4 linked regions of the Drosophila melanogaster genome follow. The protein of the gene in region 4 interacts with the protein of the main gene of each other region in a pairwise test. Each region holds a gene or a part of one and is shown on either strand. Other genes may lie near its edges.

What was found.
Region 1: the proteins of Plp (region 4) and asl interact in a two-hybrid assay, tested with the Drosophila melanogaster proteins (2 studies listed by BioGRID).
Region 2: the proteins of Plp (region 4) and Cnb interact in a two-hybrid assay, tested with the Drosophila melanogaster proteins (one study listed by BioGRID).
Region 3: the proteins of Plp (region 4) and spd-2 interact in a two-hybrid assay, tested with the Drosophila melanogaster proteins (2 studies listed by BioGRID).

Annotation. Positions count from the first base shown.
Region 1 is NT_033777.3:5,602,736-5,608,550, forward strand, and holds asl (asterless), read right to left. Parts: upstream 3,809-5,815; 5' UTR 3,712-3,808; coding exon 3,595-3,711; intron 3,539-3,594; coding exon 1,706-3,538; intron 1,641-1,705; coding exon 606-1,640; 3' UTR 501-605; downstream 1-500. Other genes in the region: SecS (Sec synthetase), read left to right, coding at 1-195, 255-430; Rga (regena), read right to left, coding at 4,638-4,857, 4,949-5,113, 5,218-5,422, 5,715-5,815.
Region 2 is NT_037436.4:1,945,829-1,950,991, reverse strand, and holds Cnb (centrobin), read right to left. Parts: upstream 3,428-5,163; 5' UTR 3,207-3,427; intron 3,146-3,206; 5' UTR 3,133-3,145; coding exon 1,969-3,132; intron 1,911-1,968; coding exon 1,749-1,910; intron 1,687-1,748; coding exon 1,349-1,686; intron 1,285-1,348; coding exon 879-1,284; 3' UTR 730-878; downstream 1-729. Other genes in the region: mv (mauve), read left to right, coding at 1-231, 293-413; mu2 (mutator 2), read left to right, coding at 3,543-3,653, 3,712-3,912, 3,973-4,453, 4,508-5,163.
Region 3 is NT_037436.4:16,590,478-16,596,975, forward strand, and holds spd-2 (spindle defective 2), read right to left. Parts: upstream 4,538-6,498; 5' UTR 4,490-4,537; coding exon 4,405-4,489; intron 4,344-4,404; coding exon 3,587-4,343; intron 3,526-3,586; coding exon 927-3,525; 3' UTR 730-926; downstream 1-729. Other genes in the region: tra (transformer), read right to left, coding at 1-278, 527-566; Apl (apollo), read left to right, coding at 5,057-5,122, 5,610-5,782, 5,842-6,498.
Region 4 is NT_037436.4:15,087,103-15,091,865, forward strand, and holds the start of Plp (Pericentrin-like protein), read right to left. Parts: upstream 3,092-4,763; 5' UTR 2,717-3,091; coding exon 2,690-2,716; intron 1,452-2,689; exon of another isoform or gene 1,224-1,451; coding exon of another isoform or gene 1,209-1,223; intron 1-1,208. Other genes in the region: sstn (stepping stone), read right to left, coding at 4,252-4,763.

The sequences.
Region 1 (5,815 bases), on a different chromosome or scaffold from region 4:
CAGAGCCACGCGGAGAGATTGTTATAGACAGCAGGTTTAACTCCATATCCTTGGCCATAACATTGGCCACTTTGGCTGGGGATCAGATGAAGAGCATCACCAAGCTTGGCTCCATGCTACACATGCGTGGAGTTTCCGGAGCAAGAGTGATAGTTCCTGGCCAAAATAAAACTATAGACGGGCATGAGTTTCTAGGCAAGTAATATTCACTATCGTCTTTGTTTTCCGACTAAAATTTAGAATATTTCGCTTAGATTTCGGCTCCCACCGCAGCAACCTGCAAGTTCCGTACCTGACTGTAGCGGCAGGAATTGGAATAACCCGAGAGGAGATTGACAAATTCTTCGACATTTTCAACAAGTGCTGGAACCAGATTTTTCAAACTAAAAATGAAAAAATTATGAGCCTACTAGAAACAACAATCAAATAAAAAACCTATTTTTTAATATTAATGATAAACTTTCACTTTTTTAGCTGATTTTTATAAGCACAATTTTGTTAGGAATGTACAGCGACTTTTATTTGTTTAGACAATTTGGCAGTGCATGCAGTAACGATATCCCACTAAAGAGACCTACATATACATATATATATTTTCCTAAGTCTTAGCTGTGACCATTGCCTTTGGGCTTTCTATTTGAGTTGGTGATTGGGTCGCTGCTGCTATTGCTGGGCACGTTCTCTTTGTCGCGGTGCTTCTCCCGACTCCGCCGCTCCAGGTGCTGGTTCATGGTCGCCTCGATCTTGGCGAGTGATAGCTCGTACTCGTGCTTAATGCGCTCATACTCGCGTTTCATGTGCGCCTCCTTGTCCTCGGCATACAACTTGTAATTGTGGGCGGTACGCTTGGCACTTTGATATCGCTGCTGTGCGGATCGCATCGCCTCTTCGTGGGTGGAACGCAAGCTTTCCAGCTGCTGGCGCCAGTGGTGTTCCACCTGGTCGACTGACTGGCGCTGTTTCTCCCACTGAGCCATCACAGCCTTCATAGATTGCCTTTCGGAGTCGATGCTGGCGTGCTGCTCCTCCACTTCTCGGAGCAGTTCGGCAATTCGCTGGTTCTTCGCTTGCAGCTCCTGGCGGCACTTCTGCAGCATTTCCTTTTGCTTTTCTTCCCTGCCGGCCAGAATTTCATCGATATTCTCGCGTTCTGCCAGGATAGTTTGCTTTAGAAGATCCACCTCCGTTTGCCGCTGTTGCAGCTCTGCACACACCGTTTGGTATTCCCTTTGGAGGCACTGGCTCCTCTCCTCAGATTTTTGCAGCCGGTTAGTAAACCTCTTGAGTTCTGCTGCAAAAAGTTTGGCCATCTCATCACGAACACGTTGTTCGATCAACCTTATCCGATTCTGGGTGAGCTCTTTGGGCGATGGATCAGACGGGGAAACTGAGTTTGATTTCGGACTGGGCGTACACTTATTCTGCTGCTTATGCTCCTCTTGCTGCCTAATGTACGCCTCGAATTGCTTGGCCCTCTCCTTAAGATCGCTAATGAGCTCGTCCTGCTTGTTTGAAAGCTCGATCTTTTCCTGCATCTCGGCTTGCAAATTTTTAGACTGCTCCAGCGCGTGTTCCAATTCTTTCAGTTCCTTGGCCTGCATTGAGTTCACATTCTGGAGTTTCAACAACTGAATTTCCGCCTAAAAACCGTGGTGATATATAAGATTATTTAGTTTACTAGCATGTCTGAAAGGTTATCGCTTACCTTGGTAATTTCTGCTATGCTTTCAATGCACTTGCTGCAGTTTTCGGAACTTTCTTTGGCCACCGCAACTGCTTCTTCGCGCTTTTCCCGCTCGCTCCTTTGGCGCAAGGCCTGCAGATCACGTTCGTGGCTGAGTTTCTCCGTTTCCAGAAGCTTTTTTAGCTCCTCTGATTTCATCTCCGCCAGCTGCAAGTTTCGCTGAACAGTGGCCAAGTTTTGGCGTTGATCCTGCAACTCCTTAAGCGTGTCCGATTCTCTCAGCTTTCTCAATTCATAGCCTAATGACTCTTTGTCTGTGGCGATGTCAGAATAGAGTTTCTTAAGCCGCTCGACCTCGCTCTGGGAATCCCTCAACAGAATCTTGTGGCGTTCCAGCTCCAAGCGCAGGTTGTCTGCAGTTTCTCGAGTTCGCAACTGCCGATTTTCCTGCGAAAGCTGATCGTAATTTCTTTGAAGGCTCTCGTTCTGCTGCTTTAGTTGCTCCAGATCTTCTTCAATCTGCTGCCGTTTTTCCCTTAGTGCATCCCTCTCGGCCACAATGGAATTCAGCTGTGAGTGCACATCTGACTCCTGCTGTGATCTGTGTTTTTGCTCTTCCAACTCCTGCTGCATTGCCTTCACTTTGTTTTCCAACCGCATTTTGCCTTCGTTTAGGGTTTCCAGCTGAACCAGGGATTGGTTCTCCTGGTCGCGCAGCACGCGCAGTTCCTGGTTGCGTTCCTCCAGGAGCTTCTCTAGGCGTCGCACTTCTTCCCGCTTGTTCTTCAGGTTGCCCAGAGCTCGATACAACTCCTGCTTAATGTGACCGACTCTGTCTAGAGGATTCAGCGGTGTGCTACCAACAAGGCGCGATCCACCCATTTGACTTAGCCGACTAGTAGGCGATTCGTCCGCCTGATGCTGTTGAATAACCGAATCTATCAGGTCAAGTTCCGTGGTGGTTTCGTTTAGGCGCTCATGGAGCGAAGCGACTGTTTGCTCCAAATAGGCAATGCGGGCTTTCAAGTCAACGATGCACTGTTGCTGCCGACGATTTTCAGCCTGCAAATCGGGTCTTGCACTTAGTTGGTTGCAGCGCATTTGGGCCTCATCCAAAGCTTGACTGAGCTCGTTAATCTTGGCAGCCTTATCTACGAGCATTGTTTCGTGACCAGACTGCAGAGCATTGTAGCGCGAGTTTATCTGATCCAACTCATTTTGCTTGCGATCAAGCTGATCCTTCATCTGACAGAGTTGCTGCTGCAAAAGATCGGACTGGGCTCGGTGCGCTTCCTCCATTTGCTTTAAACGTAGGTCGGCGTTCCGCTCCTCCCACTTCTGCTTACTGGCCTGCACCATGTCGTATTTGCTTTGGACGTCCGTAAGCAAGGTCTTGGCGGCCTCTAATTGACCAACTAATCGCGTGTTATCTTCTTCCAACTGCTTCTTTTCCGACCGCAGCTTGTCCAGATCGCTGTCCTTATTGGAGCACGTCTCTTTGGTCTCCACCAACAGCTCGTGAGTGTTCTGCTTCTCGCGAATGGCGCGGTCTAGCTCAGCCTGCATGATGGATAGGTGCTTTTGTAAGTCATCCAGTTTTTTGTGCGCAGCGTTGGCCACCTGGTTGACATTCTGCAGCTCATTATTCTTAGACTCCAGCAGGATCTGGAGGCGATGCATCTCGATCTCGTTGGCTCGCTGAGCATCGTCCTGCAGCGGTTTATGGTGCGGATGTGATGGGTAGTTGGGTAGAACTGGCGGCTGTTCCAGTTCCGACTGGTAATTCGTCGTCGAGTCGATTGTGTTCTCTTCATCGAGCAGATCGTCGAAGGCATTCACCATAATCCGTCCAAGCTTGCGTAGAATTGGAATCGGTGACATTGTTTACCAGGAATTCCCAGATCGCTTACCTCTTCCTCGCGTCGTTTCTGATCCTGCAGCGCCTCTTCCTCCTCCTGCCGGTCCAGTGTAGAATTTATGTTAAGGGCATCCGCCCCCTGAAAGAGGCTTATACCTGGCGTGTTCATATTCGGCTAAGGGGACGCCACAAGCATCAAATTCAAATAAATTCCGAGGCGCAGGCGCTATTTTCGTAGGCAACTCTAATTTTCTTCCTCTTGCTTCTGTTGACACTTTGACATTAACATAGTAACGCGTGCTGTTAAGTGCAGTAAGCGCTTCTGTAGCGAAAACATTGCGTTCACACTACATACAGTCTAGAAGGGAATTAGGTTTTTATTCTATACTTGTACATAAACTGTAATTGTTAAATTTAAAAATAAATATTTTCCCAAAAAGTTGCCGATATGTCGAAAAGATTGTGGCCCCGACAATAGACCTGCCAGGCATACACAAGCTTGAAGATGATATTGTATGTATGTATTATCATGCCAACTATGGTTCCGTCGTATCATTGATAGGGGGAGCTGTTGTGCATTGCAGAATGCAGTAGATTTGCTATTGGAATATACATACATATGTATGTCGTGTTAGTCCAGATGACAGGTATGTATTTTCAGACACGGCCAGTAATTTTTTATAGGATCACTTTATAGAAAGAATTTCTTCTACCTTTCAAATACATTTCAACGAATCGAAAAAATATAACTTGCTTTTTAATTTAATGGGAGTCCGCTCATTTCATAATATCGAACAGCTAAAAAATGTTACATTTCAAAGATATTCTAAAAATATGAATACCAACTAGACTCCAGCAGGATAAAAATAAATCGCTTTAAATTGTTAACCGGCAATTTGTACCAGAATTTGCACATACATACATATGCATATATGTATGTATATATATCCTAACACCGTTTTAGAAGAAAAACTCAAATGGATTGTTTTTAATTTTTATAATAAAACTTATTATTCAGTTAGTGTTGAGTGTCCTTGTTGCAATGCAAAAACAACAGCATACTTTCTTTTTCAATTTTTTTCATTTTTATTAATTTTATACAGACTGTCCATTCATAAACGCACTTATATTGGGACATTTATCTAATTTCTCGGGATCTATTTGGAAAACCTTGGACAAACGTTTCCAACTTTGCGCATCAAAGTAGTAGAAGGTGCCGCGCTCTTTTGTACCATTTTTTTCATATTGATCAATGCCAGGAATTCGAGTTATCCATATTTTCTCCTCCACGTGGTATCGCCACTCGCGACTATGCCTGCGATGGGAGCAGAATTTTAGTATATATGTATGTTCTATATATGTTCATACGAAGCTTAGATAATAGCTACGCAAGAGGAAGTACTCACAATTCAGCAGCTGCCATCAATTGCATCATATCGCCGATGTTCGTGTAAAAAAGGAAAAAGAGCAGGTCTTCTTGCAGCTTTTTCAGTACCGGCGCTGTTAGTTTGTCTCTTATCGCAAAGTTAATCAGATATTCGGGTGGCACGTTGAACTCAACGTCTTGTGCTCTGAAAAAAGTAAATGCAAATCCAATGTTACTAATTTGGTACACCTCTTACTCAATAGTACTCAATAAGCAATTAAATTATGTAAGTTTATTATGTAAACTGACCTGCAGGGCTGTGCTACGAAGGGGCCAGCGAAGGTTGTATGCAAGCTCTCCTGCGAGTTCAGGTTCAGGCCTAAACCCGTGAGATCCGTACCCAAGGAGAGCGTCACCAGATTGGGATCCGTTTCTGCAGCCCGAATGAACGTCAGCAGGCCAACCATGCCGAACTGGTTGTTCACCATGGTCGCTGGTATGTTTGTGACCTTCCCTATTTATGCAAAACGAACGAAAGGTAAATTTGTTACATTTTTAAATAAATAAAATATTTCATGGTACTATTATTTCTGGATAAAATGGGTCAAGGATAGTATAGCTGTTGGGCTTTTGTGATGTACACCGAAATCACCGAATTATAATATGAAACAAATAATAATAGAAACCAAGAAATCCATTGATTAAATGGTATCAATCATCCATAGAGTGTTCAATTCAAAGCTCCAAATGATCAAAAGGTCAAAAATAGCTCTCTCACATGTTGTGAGAAGTGTTCCAGCACTCACCATCTGGCGAAGTTTGCACGCCGCTCTTTACAAGTTTATCGTTGCTGGAATTATCGTTCAGATGCTCGCCGCCCGCTCCGCTCCCAGACGAGCCGCTTCCA
Region 2 (5,163 bases), about 13 Mb from region 4:
TGTGAATCCCAATGGCAAGTCCATTTTGAGGCTGCACTCAGTGAACGCGCGGTATGTGCAGCACCTGGTGCACGAGGATCGTATCCTGGCCGTGTGCTACTCCTACATCAAGGAAGGAGTGGGTGTCAACGTGATAGCCACTGCTGTGGAGGGAGGATTCGTGCGCTTCTGGTCCAGCTGGAACCTGAGCTTCGTCAGTGAGCTGACCACGGGTACATCGCCCATTCGTAGGTAAGAGAGAAGTGGCTCCATATTCGAATAAAATACAATCTAATCCCTGCTTAACTTGCAGCATTTGCTACTCAACCCATCAGCATTTGGTGGTGCTAACGCGAGAGTCCCATATCCAAGTCTGGGAATCAGAGGGGCTCTATGGAAATGCCCCGAAATTCCCTCAAATCGTCTACAAATAATGTTAATGGGAAAATACTCAATAATTCAACTCAAAGCATATCAATGACAGACACATAAACGATCTAAGAAACAGCTGAATCAAAGAATAAATCCTTTTAAAAGATATAAAATACAACATTCGCTGGCGACAGCCACAAAATTAATATATCACAAGATTCCTAGGCTTAGGTCTCATAGAGCTGTAAAATACACCTTTTGTACCAAAACTTTATATTATTATTACATTTAAAATTTTCACCTTTGTTTTTCCCGTGCTGCATACAAATGCCACGCTGCCTTCAATTGTTGATATTATCAAATAAACAATCATATTTTGCAAAAACTAAACTATTTACTTTCAGAATTCCATAGAAAAATATACAACTACAATGTCCATTGTAGCGGCCATTCAAAGAGGCAGTCATTCTTAAAAAACTACAGGTATTACTAGATAGAATATTACTTGTCGAAAGCATCTCTCGTTGTCAGCACTTCCAAGGTGGAGGCTTACTGTTGCCACTTCCGCTCTTTGGTTTGCTTTGTTTGCTACCCTGTTTGGATGTCATGGCCAAGATCTCGTCGAGCCTGTCGAAATCACTGGGCGACTTGCTGAGCAGCAGTTCAATGTAGGCCTGCAGCTTGTCCATCGGCGAGGGGGGATCCCGTTTGCCCACCACATCCAGGTTATTCTTCTCAGTGTTGTTGCTGCGCTGCGATTTGCTCGATTTGGGCGTTTCTGGATACATGCGTGCATTATTTAGCTCCGGAGATTCACTGGCTTCAGTGTCACTGGATTGGATAATGGAGTTTTGACTAGGAGTGGTGAGGATAGCAAGGGCCTGCTGCCACTGGGCCTCCATTACCCCATGCAGTTTCTCCGCAATATCAGCACTGGAATGGAAAAAAAAACCATTTCTATTTAAACCAGAAAACAAATAAGGCTCTCATATCTTACCGCTTTGTTTTGTAACAGCTGAGCTTGAGATCCATTTCATCGATCTTCTTCGAGGCATTCGCTAGTTGAAGGCGGTACAGCTCCACCTCCTCGTTGTGCTTTTCCTGGATGAGATTCAATTCCTGGTTGTTTTTCTCATTGATCATTTCAAGCTGCTTTACTGCCCGCTCGGCTATGAGTCGTTCACGCTCCCGAGCTTCGTTCTTTAAATGCTCCTCATTCTTGTCCAGTTGGTCCTGGAACTCCTGCATCTTCTTGGCCACAACATTTTCCATTTGCTGTTGGTAGTATTGCTTTAGGGATTTCTGCTGTATATCTAGCTTCTTCTTGAGATTGGTCTGCAAAACAACAATCATTTATTATTGAGTTCTTTTTTTTTTTGTATTTATTTTTAAATAACCTCAGTTTCAGTTAGGTTCGCCAGAGTTTCTTGTAGGGATTTACGATGGCTCTCCAAGGAATCCGCTCTTGCTTTCTGCTTCTGATGATATTCTTGCAGCATTTCCTTTTGATTGGTCAGCGTGTTATTTTCCTTCTCCAGTTCCTCTATCCGCGCTTTTAGCTTATATATAAGAAATGTGGTTAAAGTGGCCGTGGTTGAAATCTTATTTTTAAATTACCTTTTCTTGTTGGTAGTCTACCTTGGCAAACTTATCCCTTAGCTTATTCAGCTCGGCATGTGACAGCTCCTCCGCTCTTTTGCTGCTGTTGAGTTGCATTTCCAGTTGCTCCAGTCTTTCTTCCCATTGCTTGGCGTCTTGCCTGCAATGGTCCAACTCCCTTTCGAGTTTATCATTCTTTTCCTGAAACCTGGTGGCCAAGTTGACCGCCTGCGACAACTCGTTCTGCAGTGCATCAAACCGGCTCTGGGATTCGCCCCTGTCCGCTTCCAGCCGGTGGACAGCGTCCCGCAGGTGCTGAACCTCGTAGTTGAGACTTTGAACTGTTTGCTCTGCCTCGGTGAGAGCAGCATCCTTCGAACGATCCACCTCGATGGCCACTGAGATTCGCTGCTGGTACTCCAAAAGATGCGACTGCAGTGTGTGCACCATTTTCTCCAGATGCTGCCTTCTGAGTTGTTCCTCTTTTAGGGAAGAGCTGCACAGTGGTCGGTTGGGCGAGTTGTTGTCGAGTACAGTTTTGGTCAAGCTGCTCTTGCCCCAGAGCTCGCTCAGACTTATGATCTTGTTCTCATTCAGGCTGCTTCGATCGACCCTGGCTGCTTCGACAGAAACGGCGCCGGAGGATGATGAGGCCAGCCTCATGCTGGGCAGAGACGAGGTTCCCGGATGACCCTCTTTCCCCGCCCGCTCGTTCCTCAGATGATCGTCGCTGCGGTGATGCAGGTGGTGATCGTGCCTCTGCCAACGGTGCGCATTATTGTCGTCTAGGTAGTGGTCGATTTCGAGCAGAATGTTGTCGTCCAGTGGTCGATGGCGGAGGGGCTCAACGGACCCACTCTTCGGCGTGGAGTGCACCATGCCGTGGAGCTCCCTACTTGGCCTTCCAGCGTTCCTTACAGTATTCGTGGATATGGTGGAAATGTCCGAGGGAGGCTCCTCCGCATCCAGTGCGATGTTCTGCAGCCGGGAATTGATGCTATTCAGCTCCGATTTCTTGCTGGGATGTAGGAACTGGTACGCTGCACTTGTGGTCGCCGGGGGAGGGGGCGGGGGCATGGCCAACGCATCTGCCGCCGCGCATGCGCTCATTTTGTCCTCCGCGCAGAAGTTCGGTGGTATCAGGAGCAGCAGATCGGTGTCGTCCGTATCGGTATCACTCATGCCTCATGGTTAACTGTATTAATAGTATGCTTATAGTACAATAATTGTTGTTTCAAAACAAAAGTGAAACTAACCACCGATTGCCATGGTGATGCACAGGGTTGCCAGGTGCACGTGGCAATGCAGGATTATCGAAAACAATGGACTATCGGTATATCACTATTCAGTGTGTCAAAACAAAAACTAAAGCTCGATATTCTAGTCTTCACAAGGCACTATATAATTTTAAAAATAATATACGTTGTTAGTCTTATTTTGCCTTTTGGCATATCTGTTGTAATTAACACTACCGTATATATCGCCTGTTTTTGGCGCCCATTTCAAGTGTGACCGTTCAGTGCGTTTGTTGTTTCCATTTATTGTCTTGTTTTTTTTTTTCGTCCTTCAGTTTTGAAGGAACTGCCGCCAGGATGGCAGATGTAAGCCTGTTTTTTGGCGGTTTGCCGGCCATTCTTCTGAAAGCGGATACCATTTACCGCATTGGGAGGCAGAAGGGCCTGGAAATAAGCATCGCCGATGAGGTAAATTGGCCCTTACTTAAACATTTCCCCTTTAATAACTCCTATCCTCAATGGGCAGTCAATGGAGCTGGCCCACGCCACAGCCTGCATACTGCGCCGAGGTGTGGTGCGCCTGGCTGCCCTGGTGGGCAAGATCTTTGTGAACGACCAGGAGGAGACCGTGGTGGACATCGGCATGGAGAACGCCGTGGCCGGCAAGGTGAAACTCCGCTTTGGCAATGTGGAGGCCAGGCTAGAGTTTGGAGAAGATCACGATGAGGTATGGGCACCAAATACCATTCTTACAGGATGCATAACTTAATGCTTACCCTTCGTTCAGGTCCACGACAGTAGCGGATTCGGGGAATGCCTGAAGAACGGATTAAACAACACAACCTTGGACAGCATGGATGTTCCGGAAACACAGCCTCCATCCGCCAACACATCAGTCAACACAACGGCAGATAGCTTATTTATACCCGAGACCCAAGCGGTGTTATGCGAAAGGCCTTCGACCGGACAAAGAGTGTCGCTGGGCGATGACTTCATGATACCCGAAACGCAGGATATGCTTGCGGATCTTCCACCTGAACCACCAGTGTTTAAACCCCCGGTTATTCCCGTAGTTGATAAGCCAGGTCCGACGATAGACAGCGATGAGGAATCATCTCAGGGCAGCATTATACGCATGTGCACCCAGGATTATAATGAGGATGCCATCGATGACTTCGATACCTCACAGGTACTCTGCGATGTTCTGCTGCCTCTTCCGCCGCCAACAGCACCAATTGAAGGTCTGGAAAATCAGGATACTAAGCGGGGTATGTGCATCCATTGAAACTGATAACTTTCAATAATGTGCGCTTTCTTCTTAGATCAACTGGACACCACCGACATGGAAATGAGTGCCTTGAACTGGTCGGCTAGCAATTCCAAATGCTGTGCTCTGAGTAGCACCAAAGCGGATGATATATTGCCGCGTGGCGATGCCTGCATTACTCCCGATTTGACCGCTCCGTCCGTAGATAGAAATATCTGCACACCCGATCTATTTGACCTGATCATGGGGGGGGATAGGAGGCGCGATGGCTCCAGCAGTCCAGATCCGTTCGTTCGTCCTGCGGACAATACAAATACCGCCACACCGCAGTTTGGCGGAGTTAAACAGCTGGTTGTGGCGACGATTGAGACCCCCACTGCCACTCCTGACACGAATAGTCAGGAAAAGAATCAAGATATGATAGCCACTCAACGATTTCCACGACATAAATTGTTGGAAAGTGACGAGGAAGACAATGGGCAAAACAACCAAGACTTCGTGGCTACTCAGGCGTTTAACTTAGGACGTCCGCAGGCACCACAAGAAAATGAAGCCAATCAAGATCTCATAGCGACACAGGCATTTAACTTGGCACCGCCACAAAAAGTTGATTCACCTAAACCCTCTACAGCTAATGATGCTTCCAACCAAGATTTTATAGAAACTCAGGCATTTAACTTAGGAATCCCACAAGCAAACATGGCTTCACCA
Region 3 (6,498 bases), 1.5 Mb from region 4:
TCGTTCACTGCTGCGACTTCGGTTGCGATTGCGGCTCCTAGAGCGCTGGCGATGCCTTCTGTGCCTGCTCTCTCTGATGGACGACTGTGATCTGGATCTGGAGCGAGTGCGTCTGGTGGATTGGTGCGCTCTTTGGCGCAATCTTCTCAACCGATCCTGTTCTCGAACCTCGTCTGCAAAGTACGGAATCTTGTGCTCCTTCTTTCTGCTGTCCCTCTCGCTTGATCGCCCATGGTATTCTCTTTCTCGCCGGGATCGAGACCTTGAGCCACGGGAATCTATGTGAAAAGAGTGTGCGGTTAGTCAATGCATCTAACGCATAGTGTTTGGCGCATCGTCGGAGACGGAATCCACGTAATGCGCAGTTGAGAGTCCTATTGTCCTAGCTTCTCTTTCTCTGTCTGGTCGTCCAGCGTTCATTCTCATCCATTTCACATTTCACACAATATGACACTAGAAAAAAAACAACAAAAAGATGGCACTGGATCAGAATCTGATCAGATCGGTTATACTATATAGTGGGTACCTCGATGCTGGGTTCCACTGCTGTCGGCATCCATTTTCATCGGAAAATGCTGGAAATTAAATGATGCACTTTCCTCAGTGTGACCGTACTCGGCTTGCACCTTGCAATGTGCCCGCCAACTCACTTTTCGACGAACTATCGCTACATATACGTTACTTTTTGAATATTCGAGAGCAACATATCAAAATTTAAAATTAACTCATATACTTTATTAGTTTTTATTTAAGCTAAATTCAACTTTTAGGAAACAAGCGAGTATTTTAACTTTAGGGTTATGCGTTTTCCTTACAAATACTCTGCAAACACGGTTTCATTTCACAAGTACACAATACAATTTTTGTTTAAACTAACTACACAAACATAGGGAAAGCAGAATTAGCAGGCACAAATAAAACAAATTTTAAAATTTAAAACTAATCGGGACACTGATGCGCTCGTTTTCCATGGAGACCACAATGAGCGGCTCCCTTTCGAGCAAATCCTGCCTGGGTGAGCGGAGCAGGCGCACATCGATCTCCGCGTGGCCGCCATCCGGGGATACGTAGCACTCACTGGGACTGATTCGCACCAAATCGGGCACATTGCATGTGACCTCGATGAGCTGCCTGGAGCAGAAGCTGTTGGTTACGGACAAAGTGGCCAGTGGCGAACAGCCCACTCCGAATTCCAGCAAACCTGGCTGCACACACCAGTTTTGCTCGACGGGCGTCAACGTTGTGGTGTCCGCCTCCAATAGCTCATCCACTGGCTCCAATAGATGGCTCTGCGTTGGCGTCGGCGAATTGGCCACACATATGGTGCGGAATAGCACGGTTTCGTCGGCCTCCGGCAGGAACATCAGGGAACTCTCAGACGATTCATCAAAGTCCCGATTGAGGGTAAGCGCAACATCAATAATCCGCACTACTGTGACCAAGTCCAGAATAAACTCTGGCGGTTCGTTCAGCTGACCGATGTTGCGCACTGGCTGCTCGTCCGGAAATTCGCCCCAAATGCTGTCCAGCATCGGCGATGTGAGTTTCTCTCGCTGTCGGCTGCTCATCCTTTGGACCAAGCTACGCATACGCTGTCTGTTGGGCTCGTCTCCGCAGAAAATCCGCATATTGGCCAGGGTCAACACCTGTGCGGTCTTCTTAAGTATGTTCTTCAAGTCCTCACGATTCGGTCGGAAAAGTATCTGCACGCAGCGCTCGCTATTTGGCGGCAATATCAAGCGGCTCGGACGTACCTCGAAGGCCTCGCTGAGGCGCAGTTTCATGAGCACGGTGGAGTCCACTGATATACCAACGAAAGCGGTGAGAGGGCCCTTGTTGTGAAACTTGAGATTCGCCGAAAGCGGACCAGCGGACAGCTCGCATACATCGCCGATGGTAAGGAAACTGGCGCCCACCGGTCCCTTTAGCAGACCGTTTATGGTGATGGACGCACTGCCCCCGTAGCCGTACAACGGAATCTCTAGGCCCGGCTGGTTGCTGTTATGCGCTCCTGGTGGTGCATAGAAAGACAAGGCTCCGATGGCCGCTCCACAGACAGTGGGGCAAAAGTTGATCACTACCGAGCGGCATTCCATGGCTTGGAGTGTGATCGTGCTGCTGTCGGTGCCCACCAGCTGGAATCCGGGTCCCTGGATGCCAAGCCGAATGACCAGCCGTTTGTCCGCTGTGTTCTTAACCTGCATGGACTTACGCACATCTGTCCGCAGCTTTGTGCTTCCCCAACAGAGGGTCGTGTGGGTCACCTTTAGGGGGAGCAGTTTTCCATCGCGATGACTGAACTCACTAGAGTTCGAGCAGCGCGAAATACTACGTGGCACTGCAACAGAGCTGGTTCCCAACCCACGTCTTCCACTCGCTGTGAATCCGCTGGTGGAACTGGCCTCACTACCTGCGGGCGAGGAGTTTGCTTTGCGGGCTGCTCCACTCATGAGCTGCCGGCGGTCGGAACTGGTTGTGCTGTCCAGCAGCGGCGACGAGAGACAGCTTCTTGGCGAGGACAGGGGCGATAGATTTTTGGCCAGGTTCGGTGAAATGCCAAAATCACGTTCGGTAGAAGAGGCCACGGCAACGTCACAACCATCCAAGCGAGTGCTGCTTAAGGAGGAGGCTTTGCGCGGAATCAAGCCCATTGTAGCGATCGAAACCCTCTTCTTGTTCACTGGCGTCTTGTCCTCGTCCTCCTCATCGTTTTCATCCTCGGTGCAGGTCAGTGGACGTACGCCGTCGCTACTCGACGGACTTGCGGCTCTTGGAGAAATCTTAGTACGTCTCACTCTGCGGCTAGGCTCCTTTACCGGCGTCGAGGGCCACTCATCGATGTCCGCCTCGGCTTCTGTCTCTACGGGATCGGTGTCCGCACGGCTGATGGTGATTTGCGGATGGTCCGCCAGCGGACTGAGCGGCTTGCGCGAGATGCTCTGCTGCAAATGACGAAAATCCGTTGAGTTTAGCACAGAGTCCGTGAAACTCATGGTGTCGGTAAGCTTGTTGGAGCCGCACGAAGTGCGCTCCGCATGGGAGTTGCTGCTCTGGTTCTCCTTGTTTTCCCCATCGTCATAATTGTTTCCACGACCATGCTCCCACAGGTGGTTGACAACCTCTACAGTGGATGTATCCGAATTGAGATCTATGTCCCTTAGCGCCTTGTCGATCGCGGAGAGACTTAGGATCTCGGAGCTCGACGGCGGACGCTTGGTCTCTTTGGCTGCCAGACCATTCCTGCTCTTTAGCGCAGTTTCAATCCGATCCTGTTGCATCTTACGCATAAGATTGCGTCCGAGATTCGAGCCAGTTATGGCATCCGTTTTAGTGTATGTTTTATTGTCTGGCTGTGGGGTCTTCTCGCCAACCGAATCCAGTGTCACGTTACTTTCTGGTTCCAATAGCGGTTGGTTGGTTCGCGAACGATTCGGGCTGCTATTGCTCACAATGTTCCATATATTTTCCGAACGCGTCTGGAAGTAGTTGCCCAGCGAAAAGTCTGGATCTCCGGCCAAGACAGAACTGTAAATAAAAGTTGAAAGTTGATCAAATTATATTTGGAAGACTATTTTATGTTGCTTACTTGGACACCGAGGTTTCTATCTCGGATGTTGGTGCGGCAATCTTCTTCAACGCCTGTGTGCTCAACGTGGCCGTCGGCATGGCCGTGAACTCCTGCGCCCAGGAGATTTCACCGAGCACCAATTTGGACTGCATTAGCTCGGCGGGAGCAAAGCTCTCATCCTGGCCTTCCGCCGCCAACGAGGCAGATCCAAAGGAAAATCCCCCACCTCCGTTAAGACTCAGTTCACTCATGTCCGCAGTGCGCGGTAAGCTGCGCGAGCAGTTGAATGAATCTGAGAGGCTGCTGGAGCTGCCACGTGATAAGTGATAGCTGGCCTCCGCCTGACTGGCATCCTGCAGCTTCCTTTCCAACAGGCGAGCCTTCTCAACGAAGGATGACTTTAGAATTTCGGCCACCGACAGGGATGGCTTCTCCCTGCGGCGCTGTTTTCCCGCCTGGCAGAGTGTGGACCTGCCGGTGATCTCCGCAGGCTCAAAAGAGATGTTTGTGCCCTTGGTGGCGGGCGTGACCAAAGCAAAGGAGCTGCTGCTGTTCAGATCGATGGTGTCGTCTGTTACCAGCTCCGAGATGTTTGTGGACAAGCGCATCTGGAGGGCAGTGCTCTTTGCTTGGCTGGAACGCGACGGTCGGGGCTTTTCCAGTGTCTCCAGCGCACGCAGTCGTTCTTCTCGGAGCCGCTCGTGGACGGCGGGAGAGTCCCGACCAGTGCCGCTCCTCCTTCCACTTTTGCTGAAGCTGGACAAGTCGCCGAAGACTGTAGGGAATGAGGATTACTTGCTGCTTCGGCTTATTTCCGGCGTGCTCCACCTGCTTACCCTTTAGATTGTCCATGTTCAGGATGCCCAGCGAGTTCTGGTCCATGAAACTGCCATTTCCTTGGCTTCCACTGCTACTGTCCATTCCGCTTTGTCCTTAAACAGTTACAGTTTGCAGTGCGAACGCGAAAACAAAAAAAAGGCGCGTCGCTTCGATCAAAAATGGACGTCGATAAATGATAAAAGATCCAGGGCTGCATACTAGTGTCGAAGCGGCCTTTGCTTACTTGTCCGGTCGATCAAATGTCAAAAATGTAAATATTTTTAGTATTCTACTGCATCACTGCTGCTAGCGCATATATCAAAACTCCACAATAAACAAAAAAACATAAATACACATATATAATAAACAAAAAAACATAAATACATATATTAAAGAAAAATGTTAACACAAGTCACCAATTAACTGCGCGAGATAAATTTACGTTACATCCCCACTCGTTAAACCGCAATGATAACCGCTAGCCAATTCAAGAGTAGAATGTAAAATAAGCTTACGATAAACTGTAAACTGCAACAAGCGCAAAACGTGCGACGGGGATTTCTCCCCGGTATTCCACTTTTCAATTCTCAATACCGCGTAACGTCGTCTGCAATTTGTACCGGATTGCATTGGATTATCCGCCTGGGCGCGAACAGTAACTCCCCAAAAATGGAGGCAGCTATTCTGGATATAATCAACGGGATCCTGACCATAGACACGGAACGAATCCGTGAGGTGAGCAAAGCGGGCCATCCGGCAATAAGAAAGGAGGTTATCCTGGGCGCCAATGGATGTCTTTCATGTATGCTTTCCTTTCTGACTGCTTCACGTTTGTCTGATCAGTTAAGTTGAATCCACACTTAGCTGTAAAAATAGGTGTATAATATTTTTTTTTTTTTTAATTTAATGTTTAATGTTCTATTTGATCAGAACAAACTTCCGAAAACTATTGCACTTTTTTAGAAATAATTATTTATATATAAATAATAATTATAATAATTATTAAAAAAAATTATTATAAAAATTATAAAAATAATTATAATTAATAATAATTAATTAATATTATATTTTTATTTGCATTAAACTCGTGGATATACCATTACATTGCTCGAATGGACGCACACTTCGTCGCTTCCTAATTGAAAAATTACTTATGTTGATAGCATGATAGCATAGGGCCATAAAAGTCGCTAATAAAGTTCCATTTCTTTCGCTTCCTTAGTCCACAGCCAAGATGCTAAAGGCCTACGAGAATCCCGATTCTCTGCTGGTTCTCACCCAGATCGTGATGTCGGACAGGCCGGTCCAAGAGCGGCAGGTCGCCGCCGTGCTCCTCAAGAGGCGGGTCAAAAAGTTACGCCACTGGCAGTTGGTTCCCGCCGAGCACCAGGCAGCGTGAGTTAACTGGTTACCTTTTAATGACTATGATACAGTAACGGATGCATGTTTTTTAGAATCAAATCGAACATGCTACAGGTCCTCATCGCGGTGAAGGAAAAGACCGTGAAGGGCACGGTGGCCTTTATAATTGGATCGCTGGTGCGCCACGAGGAGGGCGAGCAAAACTCCTGGAGGGAGGAAATACTGAAGTTTATTTACGAACGTTGCAGCAGCCCCGATCCAATAGAAAGCGAGCGGGGCAGCTCAATCTTTTCCTCGCTCATGGACGCTGCTCCCGATCAGTTTTCGGACCACACGGATACTATGTTCCCATTGCTTGCCGGCATTCTAGTTACCGCCGAGGCGAATGGGAACATGGCCACACCCACCGTGCATAACATGCTGACCGGTTCATGCTTCTTGTTGCCTTTCGTAAGTGGACATAGTAATGCTGAGCAGATTGTGGTTAAGGCTGTGCCGCTCATACTCAAGGCCCTGGCCGCCTTTGTCGAAAAGGGGTACAGTATTGAGTTCATGGGTGCCTTTGATATCATCGACAGCATGGCCGAGCATGTGCCCCACTTGCTGACCGGTAATGTGAAGCTGCTTCTGGAGTTTTGTCTGATGATTGCGAGAAACAAGCAGTTCGACGCTTCGATTCGGGTTCAGGTGCTTACCTTTGTAGGCAGCCTAGTTCGCCTCAAGAAGAAAATTATTATGAAGCAGAAACT
Region 4 (4,763 bases):
AAAATATATTTATTGCAATATTTGCTTTAAAAAAAAAAGAGTTATTTCCCATTTATATTAAGTTTAAATTGTAATTTACATACAATTCAAGTCCGTACTGTATTTTGAACGACTGAAAAATATATTTTCCATATTACACATACGCCATGTGGGTCAGGCCGTAACGCTTGACAAAGTTTTCACAATATTAGCGGAAAATGCTTGTGAAAAAGTTATCCAATTCCCGGCCACATGGTGGTTTGAACGTCCTTGAACTTGTCAGGACAAAGACAACAACAACACATTCAGGAAGTACCAGCACAGCGATAAGGATATCGGGATAACAAGTTTGCACCTATAACCATGACAACGGATTTTCTTTGAGTGTGCGTGAAAAACGAAAACGAAAGTCTTTTACATTCCTTGCAAACATTTCAATTTGTTGCTATAGTTTGGACCTCTTTTGTGGGCCGTTGTTTGGGTGTGACACACATTTCAGTTGGATCGTCTGAGGTTTTTGCACTTCGGCGACTAATAACAACAATGCCACTCCCCTTTGGAACGGGAAAAGGGGCGAAGGACCTAGCCCAACGTCTCTGTTAATGGCGCTGACGCCTTTCCTTTGATTTTCCACAAGATATTGTCGATAAACCCTCAATAATGGCACGCATATTGGCGAAAATGATTAAATTAATAGCTTTGCCTGGCGCAGAATTGACAGTGAAATATGTTGGACAAAAATAAATTCGGATTGGAGAAAGGATTTTCTTTTGCGTTGCTATGAAGAAAGGTTATTTCATTTAAAGGGTTTAGTTTAATATAAATTCTTAAACGCTTGCATTTAACATTTTCATATTTTATATAAAAATTTACATATGAACACACAATTTATATGATTGTGAAGTAGATGATGAATTGCTTTATATCCTATACCCGCATTTTATTTGATTTACAAACCAAATCTTTTACAGCATTATTCTTTCAAATAGTAATTCTAATAAATAATATTCAAGAACAATTAAGAATGAGATCGTATCGTAACTAAATTTATAGAAAATATGGTAAATACTGTATAATTTTCTCTAAGTACACTGCAATGCAAAAAAAATCCACTAATTTGGTTCATTATCATGCGGTTTCGAATGATATTAACACACTTTGGCTGGCGAGTGATGCAAATGTCACTGGGCGATGCTAAAGATCACATTGCGGACAATAACTGAACTCACATGCAATTTCCCCATTTCGCTGCCCGCCACTCATTCGATTCAATTCAGCGATGAAGAAGTTATCTCAATTAAATGCAATTTACAATCACTTAAAAAGTCCATATATCGACAATGGCTATTGAGGGTTACATTGTGCAAACTTCTACGTATATGCAAATGTTTCGTAGATTTTTTTAAACAATTTTATGGGATCACAGGCACTGACACTGCACTCTTATCTTTATAGAGCTATAAATGTGCGGAAAACCGAAAAACGACGACGCGACCGCCTGCAGTGCAGGTTCTTTTATAAATAAAACGCCCGAAGAGACATTCAATTGAAATCAGTCACTCAATCCGAGGAAAATCAAAAGAAAAGCGTTGGAAAAGAGCAGCCACGGGAGAGGCCGAGCGATTGAGAGCGAGTGCCGCGGAAATTTGCAACGCGGTTCCAAGCGGTTCCGTGCACCGAATGTTCGCTCCCATTTTTTATTTATAAACAAAATGTGTGTGTGGAACATAAATTTGTTTGGAAGATGGTGATAAATGCAAAAGAGTAGTTTTAAAAGCATTTAGAACTATTGTTTTACGATTCGCGATTGCGATTGATACTGAAGTAGCTATATATATAAGTACTTAGAATTAGTATTATAATCAGAATTAATGTCCCTCAAAAACTGTTATATTTCATTTTTTATAGTTAGTAATTTATAATTATTCTATAATCATCATAAAACATTTTAAGTTAAGTTTAAAAACTTGAAGTTCAAATTTTATTTTAAAATTTGTATACAATAACAATTTAATATAAGAAATTCGAGCCATTAATCATTTCGATGAATATTAAAAATTTTTGATCATTTTCGTATACATTATCCAAAAATTTTCATCGTATTGCGGTACATGTATTAGATTTATTCAGCAACAAGTTGCAGAAACATTCTTTCCTCAACAAAATCGATAAGCGAATCGGTTATTGTAGCGAGACATTTTTTCAAAAATATGAATATTGATGTTTATAATAAACAGGGAAACAGTAGCCAAGATTCACTAATAAATGTATTAGTTATTTAACAAAGCAATTAAAACCGCATAATGTGGACAATTCAATTATAATTTTCACTTAAAAAGTTGCTCTATAATAATAAAAAGTATGCTATTCAATGATATAAAATATAATACTTATTTAAAAAATAAAATATTATTTAAAATTCCTAATCCGTTGGGTATTTTTCACTGTAGATTGTTTACAGATTTCGGAAGGGCCTTGTGGTCTTCTAATCGAAAGTTCAAAGGCGCATTCAATTTCGATTTCATTTGTAAACACACTTGAAAAACAACATGTTCTGTTTGTGGATCGTAATGAATTGAAAACACACATATCAAGGCGCATTCAACCCACATTTTGTGGATTTTATGCACAATCCGAGAGCACAGATGATGGATGTTCGGCTCCCAAATGGGTTAATACTTTAATGGATACCCCTGATTGTTTGGCTTACCCAATCGTATATAGTGTACAGATTCATGGTGACTGCACTTGAACCAAATAATTTATGGCCTATTCCCTGTTTTTTGGCCGCCTTTGTTGACACTTGCGCCTGTCAGTTGGCTATATCTATAGGCATTCTAGATGTGGCCCAAATGCGATCCATTTTCTTGTTGATGTTTTTACGTAGTGGTTTTGATGACACTATATTTTAGAATTTTTTCGGGTTGACTTGCTTACAAACACAGACGAATGCAACGAACCGAATAATTTTGTAGGTTAGGTTGGAGACTTTACGTAAAATTTGATATTTTTTTAATTTAAAGTTTAACACGAAGACAACACAATGGGGGAAACTAGCTACTTAAAGCGTGAACTCTTAATTTATCATTATGTGATTTTCAATGCTCCTCGAGGGAGAAAGAACCGACAAATTTGAAACTTAAAAACAAAAAAAAACCAATAGTGCAACCGATCTGAAACAGTTGCACGTAATAGCGAGCGCGATGCAACTGAGAACCAAATCCATTGCGAAGAGTCTTTATATTTTTGGGGTATCGGGGGATATCCACGCTCTTTTTCTCCCCATCCAGATACTGTAATGCTCAGTGAAGCACAACAAGAGATTGTTTAAAAATAATCAATCGTAAACAAAATTTGTTGCAGTGGCATTGAGTTGGGGAGAGTCCAAAAGAGAGAATTCAATGTACTACTACCAGATCGCGAGAGAAACAAAGAGAAATCCGAGAGATAAAGGGGAGGAAAGTAATTAAGTTTTATCGGTTGTTCTATAAATAAGTTTTAACCAGAGATTAAGGAACTACAAGATATATTCGATAAGGAATGATTTAAGGAAGTGAGAACACATTTATGGGTATAAATGAGACATTTATTTATAGGCTAGGGAAATATAAAGCTTTCTTTTCATTTCAATTATTCAAAAAATCTGAAATGCTACAAGAGCATTAATAATGTTTTGAGAAAAATATTGGAAGTTCAACGAAATATTTGAATGCTTAAATATCAATAAAAACGCACTCGCATATATTTTAATATAAAATATTTATTTTTATCTATTTGTTATTGCTTGTCGGTAGTTAGTCTTAAGAAAACTCGGTGAATATATCAGTATCCAATCGGTATATTCATATAAAAATATCATTCGATTAGGGTAAATATCCTTTATACACTTATTAGTTAGCTAGTCAGTTATTTGTTTATAAATGCTGTTAACTATATAAAATATTTCCATATTTTCTAGGCATCCTGTTGTAAGGCGATTTCTGTCCCCCTCGGGGATAATATTGTCCTGTGTTTTTTGTACTTTAAAAATTCAATACAAAATTTGAATGTCGTTCGATAAATTGCTTTCAATACGTCAGTTTTCAATTTGGCAGATCTTTTGAGCATTGTTATTTTCTTGATCCTAAATAATTTGGCTAACGAACTTAAAATTCGAAAGGAGTCCAATAGTTTGAGCTGCTTTTGCTTTGTAGTTTCTCAGTGCTACAAAATTAGTTTAGTTAATCACATTAAAAGGTGAAAGTGCATGAGAATTCCGTACAACCTTATAGGTCAATTAGGATTTCCGCCCTCCTTTTGCTTAAACTTGGTGGAGTATTTGTAGAAATCGGACATCTCGAAGGGTTTCGTCACTTCCTTGTACGGCTGGAAAGTGGCCTGCTGAACTACGGTCATGTTTTTGGGCGACTCGATGCGAATTTCCGGCGATAAACTGGCTGTGGCCACTGTTACTGGCGGTGACACAAGCGCTGTTTGGACAGCATTCCCATGAGCAAGTCCGCTTGAACTGCCATTACCACTGTGACTTAGGTTCTGGTTCTGAGTATGAGCCTGATTTGCGGGTGGCGGTCTGGGCGGCGGCGTTGGCTGCTGCATTTGACTTGGCTTGGGTGGTAAGTTTCGCAGTGCTGGTATGTCCAGAGGTTCCAGCGGATACGATACCGATATCCCCAAAGTTTGCTCCATTGCATTGAGATACGAAGTCGATTGACTTAGCAGGGCTTTCGAACTGGTATTCACCGCATAGCTGGCACTGGGATAATTCGGAGTCGGTCGCTGGTTGG